Macaca mulatta: one gene and its partners. The main gene of each other region encodes a partner of the protein of the gene in region 4 in a complex. Links are inferred from orthologs where the notes say so. Each region holds a gene or a part of one and is shown on either strand. Other genes may lie near its edges.

Evidence for each region. The genes of interacting proteins can lie anywhere in the genome.
Region 1: UBTF (region 4) and TAF1A share a complex: the UniProt entries of both Homo sapiens proteins name them as parts of the pol I pre-initiation complex. The link is inferred for Macaca mulatta from reciprocal best matches to the Homo sapiens genes UBTF and TAF1A.
Region 2: UBTF (region 4) and TAF1C share a complex: the UniProt entries of both Homo sapiens proteins name them as parts of the pol I pre-initiation complex. The link is inferred for Macaca mulatta from reciprocal best matches to the Homo sapiens genes UBTF and TAF1C.
Region 3: UBTF (region 4) and RRN3 share a complex: the UniProt entries of both Homo sapiens proteins name them as parts of the pol I pre-initiation complex. The link is inferred for Macaca mulatta from reciprocal best matches to the Homo sapiens genes UBTF and RRN3.

Annotation. Positions count from the first base shown.
Region 1 is NC_133406.1:80,401,826-80,404,117, forward strand, and holds part of TAF1A (TATA box-binding protein-associated factor RNA polymerase I subunit A), read right to left. Parts: intron 2,214-2,292; coding exon 2,095-2,213; 3' UTR 2,064-2,094; exon of another isoform or gene 1,747-2,063; intron 1,707-1,746; exon of another isoform or gene 1,350-1,706; intron 1-1,349. UniProt on the Homo sapiens protein: Component of the transcription factor SL1/TIF-IB complex, which is involved in the assembly of the PIC (pre-initiation complex) during RNA polymerase I-dependent transcription.
Region 2 is NC_133425.1:79,548,175-79,551,423, forward strand, and holds part of TAF1C (TATA box-binding protein-associated factor RNA polymerase I subunit C), read right to left. Parts: intron 3,019-3,249; coding exon 2,937-3,018; intron 2,748-2,936; coding exon 2,650-2,747; intron 2,574-2,649; coding exon 2,484-2,573; intron 2,390-2,483; coding exon 2,316-2,389; intron 1,682-2,315; coding exon 1,443-1,681; intron 1,302-1,442; coding exon 1,185-1,301; intron 1,102-1,184; coding exon 984-1,101; intron 901-983; coding exon 829-900; coding exon of another isoform or gene 690-828; coding exon 554-689; intron 413-553; coding exon 269-412; intron 1-268. UniProt on the Homo sapiens protein: Component of the transcription factor SL1/TIF-IB complex, which is involved in the assembly of the PIC (pre-initiation complex) during RNA polymerase I-dependent transcription.
Region 3 is NC_133425.1:15,995,283-15,998,802, reverse strand, and holds part of RRN3 (RNA polymerase I-specific transcription initiation factor RRN3), read right to left. Parts: intron 1,075-3,520; coding exon 922-1,074; exon of another isoform or gene 763-921; intron 1-762. UniProt on the Homo sapiens protein: Required for efficient transcription initiation by RNA polymerase I (Pol I). Required for the formation of the competent pre-initiation complex (PIC).
Region 4 is NC_133421.1:68,584,140-68,587,659, forward strand, and holds part of UBTF (nucleolar transcription factor 1), read right to left. Parts: intron 2,359-3,520; coding exon 2,294-2,358; intron 2,016-2,293; coding exon 1,895-2,015; intron 1,537-1,894; coding exon 1,426-1,536; intron 1,090-1,425; coding exon 956-1,089; intron 831-955; coding exon 689-830; intron 415-688; coding exon 373-414; intron 281-372; coding exon 167-280; intron 77-166; coding exon 1-76. UniProt on the Homo sapiens protein: Recognizes the ribosomal RNA gene promoter and activates transcription mediated by RNA polymerase I (Pol I) through cooperative interactions with the transcription factor SL1/TIF-IB complex.

The DNA of each region.
Region 1 (2,292 bases), on a different chromosome or scaffold from region 4:
TGGTTTTACAATGAAAGGTAAAGCCCAAAGTACTTGATGAATTTTAGCTATTACTGTTATTCATGGAAGCAGCTTAAACATCAGTGCACCTAAAAAAAGTTTCACAGGTGAATTGCACTAACAATTAGATAAGAACATTTGATGTAAAAATGTTGAGACAGCTTTGTATGGAAACCAAGAACATATCTACTCATTTCTTTATTCTCACCTCCATTTTCTTAGAGATCAAAAGAAATCATAATCCTATTTTATTGCTTTTGACGAAAAGTTTCAGGAAGCAGATCTTGGCCTATGCTTTCAGATGTTTTCCACATACTTTGGGAATTTCACTGCTAGAGTATTAGTCTTATACAGAACTCCTACACAACCGAATCATGGACTCGCAGCAGTAAAGCTACCCTATTTATGTTAAAAGTTAAACTTGGTTTATTTTGGCTCTGTGGAATGCCTACTCATTTTACATGTACTTTCTAAGTACTTCTTTATTGATAGACCTTTCTTACGAAGTAATATTGAAATATAAACTATTCACAAAGCACAATTTGTCCCCTAATCTTCTTGCAGATGGTTTAGAATTAGTAGGAATATAAGCCAATGGGAAACGTGTGTCTCACCATCTAACTATTAGACTTGCTCTGAAGTTAGTGAGTTTTCATGGAACTCAATTACTAGTTATCCCAGCAGTAAATGTAAAAGCTGACATTTCTGAAGAAGCACTTATTCTACCAATTATCCCAACATATTATAAAGCTCAGCCCATAAACCAGGAAACTTGCTGTTGGCTTCTGGCTAGGTTTTCCCAGTGGGTTTACTGTGTGACTCAGGGATACTATTCCACTGGCGAGTTTCCTCCACTGTCCAGCTACATACCGCTGCATCCTAGTTTCCAAGAGAAAAAGGAGAGGGGACGCATGAGTTCTTTTTCTCCGAGACGGAGTCTCGCTCTGTTGCCAGGCTGGAGTGCAGTGACACTATCTCAGCTCGCTGCAGCCTCCACTGGTTCAAGCAATTCTCCTGCCTCAGCCTCCTGAATAGCTAGGACTACAGGTGCACACCACCAAGACTAATTTTTTTTTTTGGTATTTTTAGTAGAGAAAGGGTTTCACCATGTTGGCCAGGATGGTCTCAATCTCTTGACCTCGCGATCATAGACTGCTGTGCCAGGCACCAAAAAGCCGAGAGCCTTTTGAAGTGAGGCCAATGCCAACTGAAAAGAGCGAGCCCTCCCTACTGCTACAACCCAAATTAGTCCTCTAGAGCAAAAGGTCTCTCTCTAGCAGGAGGTTATTTTGCCCCAAACTGTCATGTCTTTATACTGAAAAAGAAGAGTTTCTTTTTTTTTTCTTTTTGAGACAGAGTTTAGTTCTGTGGCCCAGGCAGGAGTGCAGTGGTGCGATCTTAGCTCACTGCAACCTCCGCCCAATCGATTCTCCTGCCTCAGCCTCCTGAGTAGCTGGGATTACAAGTGCCTGCCACCACGCCCAGCTAATTTTTGTATTTTTAGTAGACACAGGGTTTCACTGTGTTAGCCAGGCTGTTCTCAAACTCCTGACCTCATGATCCACCCAACTAGGCCTCCCAAAGTGCTGGGATTATAGGCGTGAGCCACCGCACCTGGCCGAGAAAGAGTGTTTTCTAAATCCTTCTCTCTTTTCAAAATTCCTCAACAGAACTCATCACCACTATATTTCTTCATGGTAGTATACCTAAAATTGATTAATTAGCATATAAAAGAATATAAATTCATTTCACAGCACCACAAGTTATAGTTTATTACACAATAGCCAGAGGCAAAGTATTTGCAAACAATAACTGCTGTAGAACTATATTCTCTAATATTTTGTCATTTCAAGAATTATTCTTTAACAAATGTAACATTTAACATTACAAAAAAGAAAACAGACAAAGTTACAAAGAGCAAAGGCAGTAATACTGTTTCTCTAGCTATAAATAATACAAAAATATAAAAATATATAAAAATAAGTTTTTTGTAGTAATATAAGCTTAATACATAACACATAACTATATAAACACATTCAATAACTATCTACTGAGCTACTTACTGTGTAGCTACTACTGTGAAATAACTAAAATTCAGTATGAGAGTCTTGGATTTACAATACTGTATTTTTTCACAGATCTCTTCATCCGCTTAATTTTCTTCCCTAAGATTTGGTGATCTTGCTTTAAAATATACCGAAAATATCTACAACCTAAAAAGTAAAGCAAAATAAAAAGTTTTAATACTCATCACATTTTCACATTTTTCAAGTATATTTCTACATTTTTAAA
Region 2 (3,249 bases), on a different chromosome or scaffold from region 4:
CACCCCGAGGCTGCTCCTCCCCCACCGCTCCACCCCTGGCTGTACCTTGAAGCCCTTACCAAGGGGAGGCCCTGGGAGAGCTTCCCCACCTGCCTGTTAGCACCGGCTGTGGGATCCACTGCGTGCTGGGGCCACAGATTCATCCAGGGTTGAGTCTGGTTTGCTGGGTGGTTATCTGGGCCCAGCAGAGCCACTGGTAAGCAGCAGCCTCTAGTGCCCATCTGAGACAGAGCAGAGGTGGGGCGGGGCGGTGGTGTGTACCACTCACCTGGGTACAGACGAGATGGAGAGTAGGGGGCAGGCATTCAGAGCTGGAGTGCCCCAGGTACTGGGTGAGCAGGACACGCTCCCCTTTCTGGCACGAAGCCTCTGCGCCCACACGAAAAAGCAACAGACCACAGCCCGGCGGGCCCTGGAAGAGAAACACAGGGTCAGCCCTCCCCACAGTCCCAGGCCCATGACGCCATCCTCGCCCAGGCCGCAGCCAGCCTGGGACTCACTGCTCTGCGGCTGCTCCCGCAGTCAGGGCAGATCTCCTGCCGCCACCCCATACCTGAGTGTCAACCATCTTCACTCCAGTGCGGTCACCCACAGTCAGCACCCGAGGGTGGGCGGTGAAGTCTGCCCAACGCCAGGAAGAGGAGTCCCGGAACACAAGGGTCTCGGGGTCCTTGTAGACTTGTTGCAGCCTTGGGGAGATGGGCAAGCCATGGGTAGGGGGGACAGGCTGATGTGGAAGGGAATCAAGGGTCGCGACATGCTGAACAGGGAGTGACGGGCCAGAGTTCAGTGTGTTAGGGTGGGGGGTTTCATGGGAAGTGGCAATACCCATCCTCAGGGCTCCACAGGCAGACGGCTCCTGAGCGGCTGCAGATGGCCAGCTCCCCGGGCAGGTGAGGGCTACAGGGCAGGAACGCATTCACATCAGGCTGCTCGCCCCTGCCCCCAGCCCCTCCTCACTGACCAGACTGACTCCCCCTCACCTGAGGCTGATCCCTGTGGCCCCCTTCTCCACCTGCATTGCCTGCAGAAGGGTTGGCTGCCACTGTTTACCGAACTTCCACACGGCACAATGGTAGTCAGAGCGGACGGCCAGCAGAGCTGAGGAGGGATGGAAAGGGTCAGGGGTCAGGGGTCAGGCAGCAGGTCAGCCAGTGAGGGAGGAACATGTGTAAGGGCCTTACTTTCTCCCTGGACAGTGCATGTCACCACCTGCCGGACAGGTCCCTGGAGCTGGATGCGTCCAGGGTTCCCAAGGAATTGGGGACTGTCACCTGGGCTCAGAACAACCTCTTGAAAATCTGGGCCTCTCACTAAGGATCAGTGCACGAGCTGTGGCCACTGCAAGCCCCACATTCCTGCCCTTCCCTGGACCATGCCAAGAGCACCTCCTCCACCAGACGGGAGCCCGCTGGGATCGCCTGTCTCACAAGAAAGGATACGCAGCCTGTCCAGGGCGCCTCCAGCAGGGTAGACCAGCTGCCCGAACTGGGGTGTCCTTCCAGGCACCCAGGCCAGCGCACCCCCAGTGCAGGCCTCATCCAGAAGCAGCTGCTCCCACCGCAGCACCAGCTCCTCGTGCAGCAGCTCTGCCAAGTGGCTCGCCACCGATGTGCCCAGGATGGGGCCCCCAAGGATAGAGAAGCGGCGCTGTCGGTTGCTGAGGTAAGCCCAGGGACACCTGGGGACCAGAGAACAGCAGGAGGATCACTCAGTGGCACTCAGGGGAGGACAGGTCCCATCCCAAGGAGGCCAAGTGCAGTGGACACATTTCTTATTTACCTAGAATTTCTTCCTTTGGGAAACCACCCCATCCTGTTCCCATGCCCTGGAAGCAATCATGGGACCCAGACCTGGCCATCAACAATATTCCATTGCCCTTGCCACAGCGACTGGTTCACAGACGGGTGTGAGACCCAAGCCAAGCCAACCAAACTCCTTTCTGGGACTTCTGGTGCCTCAGGAAGGACACTGGCTCTTTCCTTAGATCATAAGCCATCTTGCTGCTACCTACAGACAGCCTGTCTAGGAACTGTGCAGGAAGAGGCAAGTGGACGACAGAGTAAAGAGAGACACAGCTCTACGAATATTATTTGAACACCTGGATGCAGCCATGCCTGAAGCCCACAAATTTAAATCTGCTTTCCCCTGAGATGATTTGGAGTTGGAAGTCTGGTATAAGAAAGTACAGCTCAGACTGCATGGAGCAGGTGGGAAGTGGGTATGACAGAAACCTGGATGTGCGTCCTAGCACCTCCTATATCCCCACCACCAGCTACGTCTATCCATCTCCTCCTTTCTCATTAGCCACTTGCCCCCAGGGCTGGTGTCCACCGAGGTCCTGGAGCAGTTTCTTCACACTGACCACTGTCGTCTTCTTAGTGCGGCTCTGCATGGAAAGGCCTCGTCAAGCTCACACACCCTCAAGTTCACCCCTGAAGGACAGCAGGGAGTCCCTACCCCTGGTGTCATGGGCCACTCACCCCTGCTCCCTCCAGCTTGAAATTCTCCAGCATCAGCTTCCCCAGGGGTGCAAAGGCTACGTCTCCATGATCCCAGAGGAACCGGCTGATCTGGGGAGAGGAGGAGGCCAGGTCACTAAGCATAGTCTCCAGGCTACGCAGCACTGTCCCCCGTGGGCCCACTCACCTGCTCAGTAACATCCAGCACGACTCGGGGTCGCCTCCGATACCGGTACCCTCCGCGGAAAAGCAGGTCCCGGGCAGTCAGGCCAGGGTCCCAGGGATCTGAGGAGGAGGTTACGGAAAGGGCTGGGGAGGGCACAGGAGTGCAGCCAGATGCCCTGGGCGGCTGGAGGCATCCAAGGGCTCTGAGCGAGCACAGGCTTAGCAGGGAGAGGAAGGTCTCAGGAGTGGGAGCTGCGGGAAGAATAGGTGGAGCAGTGTGGAATGAGCCCAGAGGAATGAGACTCTCACCGATGAGGGAAGGCAGCATGGGGAGAGGCCCAGGGGTCGCCGGCTCCCACAGCAGGTCCTTGGTCACATGCACTGCCCCGTTCTGAAGGGAAGACAATCACAACGACAGTATCATGATGAGTGCCTTCCCCGGGCCAGGCTCTGCGCAGGCATTCATCTTTTATCAACTCATCCAATCCTCACAACAATCCTGCGAAGTTGGGATGACTGGCATTGTCACACTACCACCTGCCCCAGATGACAGAGCTGGTAAAGAGAATAGCTGGGATGTAAACCAGGCAGCCTGACCCCAGAGTTCACGTTTCTGACCTCC
Region 3 (3,520 bases), on a different chromosome or scaffold from region 4:
CTAATCTGGTTTCAGTCAACCAAGACTTCAGGGACCAGACAATCCCAGATGGTCATGATGCTGCTAGTTATTTTAGAAACCATAATAAGCAAAAATCCTGCTTCCTTATACAAGTGCCAAGTTAAGGCTGGCCCACTGGTTTTCTAGAATAATTTATCTACATAAATCGTGGTTTTTTTTGTTTTTTTTTTTTTGTTTTTTGAGACAGAGTCTCACTCTGTCGCCTAGGCTGGAGTGCAATGGCACAATCTCAGCTCACTGCAACCTCCACCGCCCGTGTTCAAGCAATTCTCCTGCCTCAGCCTCCCAAGTAGCTGGGATTACAGGCGCCTGCCACCACGCCCGGCTAATTTTTGTATTTTTAGTAGAGACAGGGTTTCACCATCTTGGCTAGGCTGCTCTCGAACTCCTGACCTCAAGTGATCTGCCCGCCTCAGCCTCCCAAAGTGCTGGGATTACAAGCGTGAGCCATTGTGCCCAGCCAATCGTTTGTTTTTTGTTTATCCTGTGCAACAGAATGGGATGTGGTCTCTAGAGGAAGGAACAAGGCACTTGACAGAAAATTATGCAGCAAGAAAAGACAGCACCCTCCCCTATCCTGGCACTGTTATCCCCACAACCTTATATGTTTAAATAACAGTTTAAAGAAAAATAAAAAATAAAACAAAAACCCTTGGTATCAATCTGGCTCCTAGTGAGGCAAAGATCCACCCACTCTGGGGTGCCTGCGCCACTCAGCAAGTCCTGCTAGGCATCCTCCACTTTGGGCCTGTGAAATATTCGCAGGGAGACCACGAGACGCTCATCAACAGCGAGGAAGGGCCACTTCTGGCGAAGAGCCCTAAATCCCAATCTTGGGAAGAGCAAACATGTATCACATATAAATCCACCTCCTCCAGCGTCAAAGTTTAAAGTACCTACCTCTTCAGCACACAGGGATCAAAGGGGAAGAAGGTGTCCAGTGGGTTTGTGCAGGTCTGCACCGAGTCTCCTCCAGCGGTACTTCTAATGACTGGCAGCATCTGGCGATTATTCCTCTCAATGATGGTGTAGCAGAAGACGAGCTGGTACTTACTGTGGAACAAAAAAACAACACAGACAGAGGCATTAACACGCTGGAGTGACTGTGCAGATGTGAGCTGCGTGTGACAACTGTACCCACCACAGAGAAACCGCTGAACATAACAAGTGCTAGTGAAAATAACAATATAAAGCAGAAAGTAACACTTTTAGGGTACCATTCTCTGGGTCTTCTATTTGCAAGTTTGCTACGGAGAAAGAAAATGTGGCTATCACTCAGAATGCAAAACTGGGCTTAGATTTTACTGAGTAATAGATATTACTCATTAAAAATAACTGTTTGCAAGGCAAAACTCTTAGATTACATAACTACAGGTGTCTTCATTTTTACTGTTTGCAAAAGAAGTAGAGGGTTGGTGGAAAAGGGATTCAGGAGTTACTCCGGAGGAAATAGCGGTTGGTGAAGAGACTTGCTGAAGAAGCCCCGAACAAGAAATAAGCCTTTACTGAAGGAGGAACATGGGGTTGACTAAGTCATGACCTCAGAAACAGGCTAGACATGCAGAGTGAGAACAGTTAAATGCACAGAAGAAAGCATAAAATCAAAAAGACAATTACGTTCTTAATTTTTCTGGTAGTTGTCTCTAAATGATTGAGCAACTTGAAAAATTATTTACTGGACAGCTTCTCCAAGATGAGGACTTAGATCTCGCTTCTGTCACTCTCCACCTCAGGTTCCCAGGTCACCATGGCAACTTCAAGCCACATACTTCGATTTCTGTCCTGTTAGCCGAGGCTCACGGCACTTGACCCCTCCTCCTGGTGGAGGCCACATCAGCAAAACCACACTGGAGGGTGGTTTGCACTATCAGGTCAAGTTGAAGATCTGCATCTCCTACAACCCTGCAGCTGACCGCACTTCCGGGTGTGTGACAAGGAAGCATGTGTCCACACACAAGGACACACACACAGCAATGTTCCTGAAAACTAAAACACGAACACAGCCAGCCGGGCACGGTGGCTCACACCTGTAATCCCAGCACTTTGGGAGGCTAAGGCAGGCGGTTCACTTGAGCTCAGGAGTTTGAGACCAGCCTGGTCAACATGGTGAAACCCCATCTCTACTAAAAATACAAAAATTAGCTGGATGTGGTGGCAGGCGCCTGTAGACGCAGCTACTCGGGAGGCTGAGGCATGAGAACTGCATGAGCCTGGGAGGCGGTGCTTGTAGTGAGCTAAGATCACGCCACTGCACTCCAGTCTGGGTGACAAAGCAAGACCTTGTCTCGGGAAAAAAAAAAAAGACAAAAACTAACAAATGAAATCTCAACAAAGACTCAATAAAAAAGATTCCCAGAACATAACACAGCAGTTAAAATCAAAATAAAGCTTTGTGGCAATATGGTTCAATCTCAAAACCATCAAGCAGGCAAAAGCAACAGCCGCAGAACAGTACACACCTTTATTTACAATATCTGTACCTAGGCAGAGACCTTTATTTCATTCCCCTGCTCTCAGCCTCACATGGCAGCACACTCTGTACCTCTAATGCGCATGCCAACCCCAAATCGAGAGCCCCTGGACCAGCTGGTTCACAAATGCAGTCCTCTGTCCCCACCCCGAGAATATACTAGGGCAGCGGCCTCTGCTTGCTTCATCCGTCCTCACTCTTTGAGCTGCCCACCATCTTAACCAACGTGCTGAAGCCTCCAGCCACCCACTGCTGCTGCTTGCTGGTCTCTCGATGCCTTTTCCTAACCCTCCACTATCACTGAGATCTCAGAAGAGAGCCCACCTTGAACCAGACGCCTCGCAAAGGAGAACTAAAGAGGCTGAAGGAGCTCAGCAAGCTGCTGGCTCTTACCTGTTGAAGATTATAGGCTATGATCCGGCCTGAATATCCTCATTAAATATTCAATTCTCCAATTTGCTTTCTCCATAAAGCAGAATAACTTAGTGAAAGCTTACGAAGGAGCCAGACTACATTAAAATCTGTGCCGCCAGTCTAGCTCTATGACTTCAGGTTAAGTGATGTCACCTCTCTGTACCTCCACCTCCCCATTGATAAACAGGGTTTCATCCTACAGGGTTGAGGATCAAATGAGTTCTACGTAAAGTGCTGAGAACTGCCTGGCACAGAGGAAAGGCTATGAATTAACCATAGCTACCAGACCTGAGAGAACAGTACTCTCTAAACCAATCTCTTACTGGTCAACATTTGCCTCACGTCCAGTTTATTTCTGTTACTATTACAGGAGTCACTCTAATAAGCATCTATGGCTTTGCCCCTCTCAGCTTACTGGCTGCCTTACTTATTTCAAAGTGCCTAGGCTTCTGCTGAATTATGCCCTTTGGATAAGAAGTAGCAGCAATTTCCAATGCCATTAAAGTACAAAAACAATAGCTGTATTACAATATTTCCTGCAAGGACTGGGTTGTTTTTGTTTAAGAGACAGGGCCTCATTCTGGAGCCCAGACTGGAGTGCAGTGGTATAATCAT
Region 4 (3,520 bases):
CCTGCAGCTGCCGCCGCTTCTCCTCCGAGAAGATGAACATGGCCGACACGGGCCGCTTGGGCTTCTCGGAGCCGCCCTGTCCAGGTGCAGAGGGTCGGGGTCCGTGGTGCTGCCAGGGAGCCCAGTCTTGCCCACCCCCGCCTGCGCGGCCGCACCCTCTGCCCACCTTGCCCCCTTCCTGGGCTGGCTTCTTGGAGGCGGGGCTGGTGGCCTGCTTCTTGTTGATGTTCAGCATCTTCTCCTCCCCCAGGACCCGCTGCTGCTCCTCCTCAGGCAGGCTCTGGAGAGGAAAGAGGGGCACAGGGCTCACGAGGGCTCTGCCTGCCAAGCCCCAGTCCTCTCTGCCCACTGCCCTACTGGAGGAACACTTACCTCCAGGAAACGGAGCAGCTCCACCTCGTAATCTTTCTTTTTCTGGGAAAGTGAGTGGAGTCAGGATCATTCTGGTGACAGTGTCACCACAGACCCTGCAGTACTCGGAGGACAGTGACCTTCAGTGGGCCTCCAGAGCCTGGGTGTGGGCTGGACTCCCTGCCTGGATGGGCTCAGTTGCTAAGCCCAGCCCAGCCCCACACCGAATTGGAGGCAAGTACCCAAGGCACACGCCACCAGGGACTGACTAGCCCAAGATGGGATCAGACCTCATGCTTCAAAACCCCAAGGCAGGGTGGCCCCTGCCACAGCTCACCTGGTCACACTTCTTGTGATAGGCGTCCTTCTCCTTCTGGGACAGCAGCTTCCACTGCTGGCTGCACAGCACCATGCGCTCCGTGCTGGGCACGTCCTTCATGTTGGCCATGAGCTCTGCGCAGTACAGCGAGTAGCTGTTCCTATCAGAGCCATGGGGAGAGAGGCGCAGCCCGTGAGCAAGCAGGACAGCAGGCCGCCTCACCCGTAGAGCCCAGCCCAACTTCCCAGCTGCCCACTCGCCCACCCACCCCAGGGCAGCACTCACGGAGGTGGCTTAGTGGGTCGCCCATCAAACTTGTCCTTGAGCTGGCGTTCAGCTTTGGTGAGGGTGGACTTGGTGATACCCTCCTCACTGATGTTCAGCTCTGGGTGCTTCTGGATATAGTCTCTCATGATCTCCTGCAGAGCCAGGTGGGGGGATGGAGGGCAATGGGGTGTGGGGTTAGCTGCGGCAGGGGCACGGGGAGAGCCGCTGGGGAGGGCAGGCAGGGAGCAAAGCTGGGAATGGCTGCGCGTCAATGGTGTCACATGAGACATGGTGCCCTGCCCTGCCCTAGCCTGAGATCTCATAGGGGTGGGGGGTGGGGAAGGTAGGGGCAGAGGTGAGGGGCCCAGAAGGCCCCTCCCTCAACAGAGGATGGGGAGTGACACCTCCCGCAGAGTGCGGTGGCCACGGAGTCAGAGGGCAGAGGCTCGTGAAGAGCCGGACAGGGAGGAGCGCAGCGGAAGCCTAACCTCGTACTCCTTCCGCTGCTCCAGGGCCTTATGAATCCATTTCAGCCTCTTTTTGTCCGAGAGCTGAGACCACTGCTTCCCCAGGGAGTCCTTCACCTCCTTCGTAGTGGCCTGCAAACCAAAAGCCGTCAGACACGCACAGGCAGCCAGGGGCAGGGGGAGGGGGAGGGGGGAAGGGGGCACAGATGCCCCCGCCCCCTCAGGCCATGGGAGGTCACATCAGTGTCCCCCACAGGCCAGGAGGGGAAGGCGGAGAGCGGCAATCCCGCCTAGGTGCAAGGGGACTGGCTCATACACGCACGCACGCACACGCTCGCACGCCAGCTGGCCCGGGCCCTGTCCATGCAGCCCACCCCTGGGGAGGGGCCTCCTCTCCTGCTCCCCTGCACCGTGCCCGGCCGACCTGGTGCGGCTCCCCCCTGGCCACCGCCGTGCATCCTCCATCCCCAGCCCTTGGCCGGACACTCACATCTGGCCGCACTTTGAGATACACCTTCTTCTCGTGGGTGTACCACAGCTGCTGGGGGGTTTTGGGCTTCTCTGGGATGTCCGATTTCTTGGCATTCTGGATTAGGTCGGGGTGATCCTCCCTAGCCAGGACATGGGGAGCAAGGATCAGCAGGGGACGCTGTCAGGGCAGACCCAAGCTAGCTGCCCCACCCACCAAGCCTCCTGGGCCTTTCAGCTGGGGCTTAGTGGGACAGTGGCTGCCTGCCTGTCCCTGCCCCTGAGCATGACACACTAGGGCTCACATGTGACCCATCCTCTTCCATGCCTCAGAGATGGCAAACTCCAGGCTCTGGCCAGGGTTAGCCTATTCTGCTGCCCCCAGTTCCCCATAGCCCTCCTCTGGGCTCCACTGCCTTACCTGAATCGGGCCAGGTTTCGCTCGAACTCCTGTTTCTCTCTCTGGAAGTCCTGAATATATTTCATCTGGGGGGAGGAGGGGATAGGGTCACCCAGGACCCAAGGGTATCTTGCCCTGAGCTATGAAGGCTACCCAGGCCCCTCCTCGCTGGCTCTTCTGCCTCCCACGCTGTGATGCAGGGAGTGGAGGCTGGTGCCCTGCCCGCCTCCCGGCGGGACTCACCACAGAGCAGACCTGCTGGCTTCTACCACAGATGGTGGGAGCTGCAGGGGCTGCCCAGACACTGAATCCTATATCCTATTCTCTCCTTCTGAGCGAGAGTCCCAGAAGGGGGCCATGGCATTACCCACAGTCACACAGTGCGTGGTGGCAGCGCTGAGGCTCCCCCACTCGTTTCTCCAATACCACAGAACTCTCACAGTGGAGTCGGGTGCAGGCCTTGCTCCCTCTTCTCACTGTCTATGAGGCAGCTGACATTAGTCTGGCCCCTTGGAGGTGGCCTCTACATGGGGCCAGGGCTGGGCTGAGTCCTATTTCCAAGGCATGAGGGGAGATTGTGTGGAGGGGAACCCAGAGTAAGTTCTTCCAATACAAGTCACAGCCAGCTGCCCTGCACCTTCCCGCCTATTTCTGACACCATTACCTTCTTCCCTTTCTCTAGGATCCCAGCTGTCTGTCCCCTCCAGCCCTCCCTCCCTCAGCCCACTCATTCTCTCCCACCACTTGGCTTCCCTTCCCTTCATCACCCCCTTTTTGGCCTCCCCACTGCCTTCCCACCCTCACCTCACTCCCTCCCTGCATCTTTCCCCACTTCTGCAAAGTCTCCCTCTTGTTCCTCCTTTCCAATGTGTCTCTTTCTCTTCATCAACCTCCTCTCTTGGCTGCCACGCAATGTCCATCTCTTCTTTCATCCTCGCAGGCTCACAAGAGTGGCACTGGCAGGTGCCAGGAGCTCATGGCAATTGAGCCCAACCCGCCTCTTATAGAAGCACCAGACAGAGAGAGGCAGCGCTCCTTTCCCATAGTTCCCACAGAAAACCAGAAGCAGAGCTCAGCCTCCTCTTCTCCAATCTCAGTCCTCCTCAGACAAAACAGTTTTAGAGCTGGAGAACACCACACAGACCTGGCTCACCTCACATAAGGACCAGGCCCAGAGAAGTAAAATGACTTACCAAAGGCCCCATACACAGCGATTCAGTGGCAGAGCCAGGAGAACAGGCCCAAGTC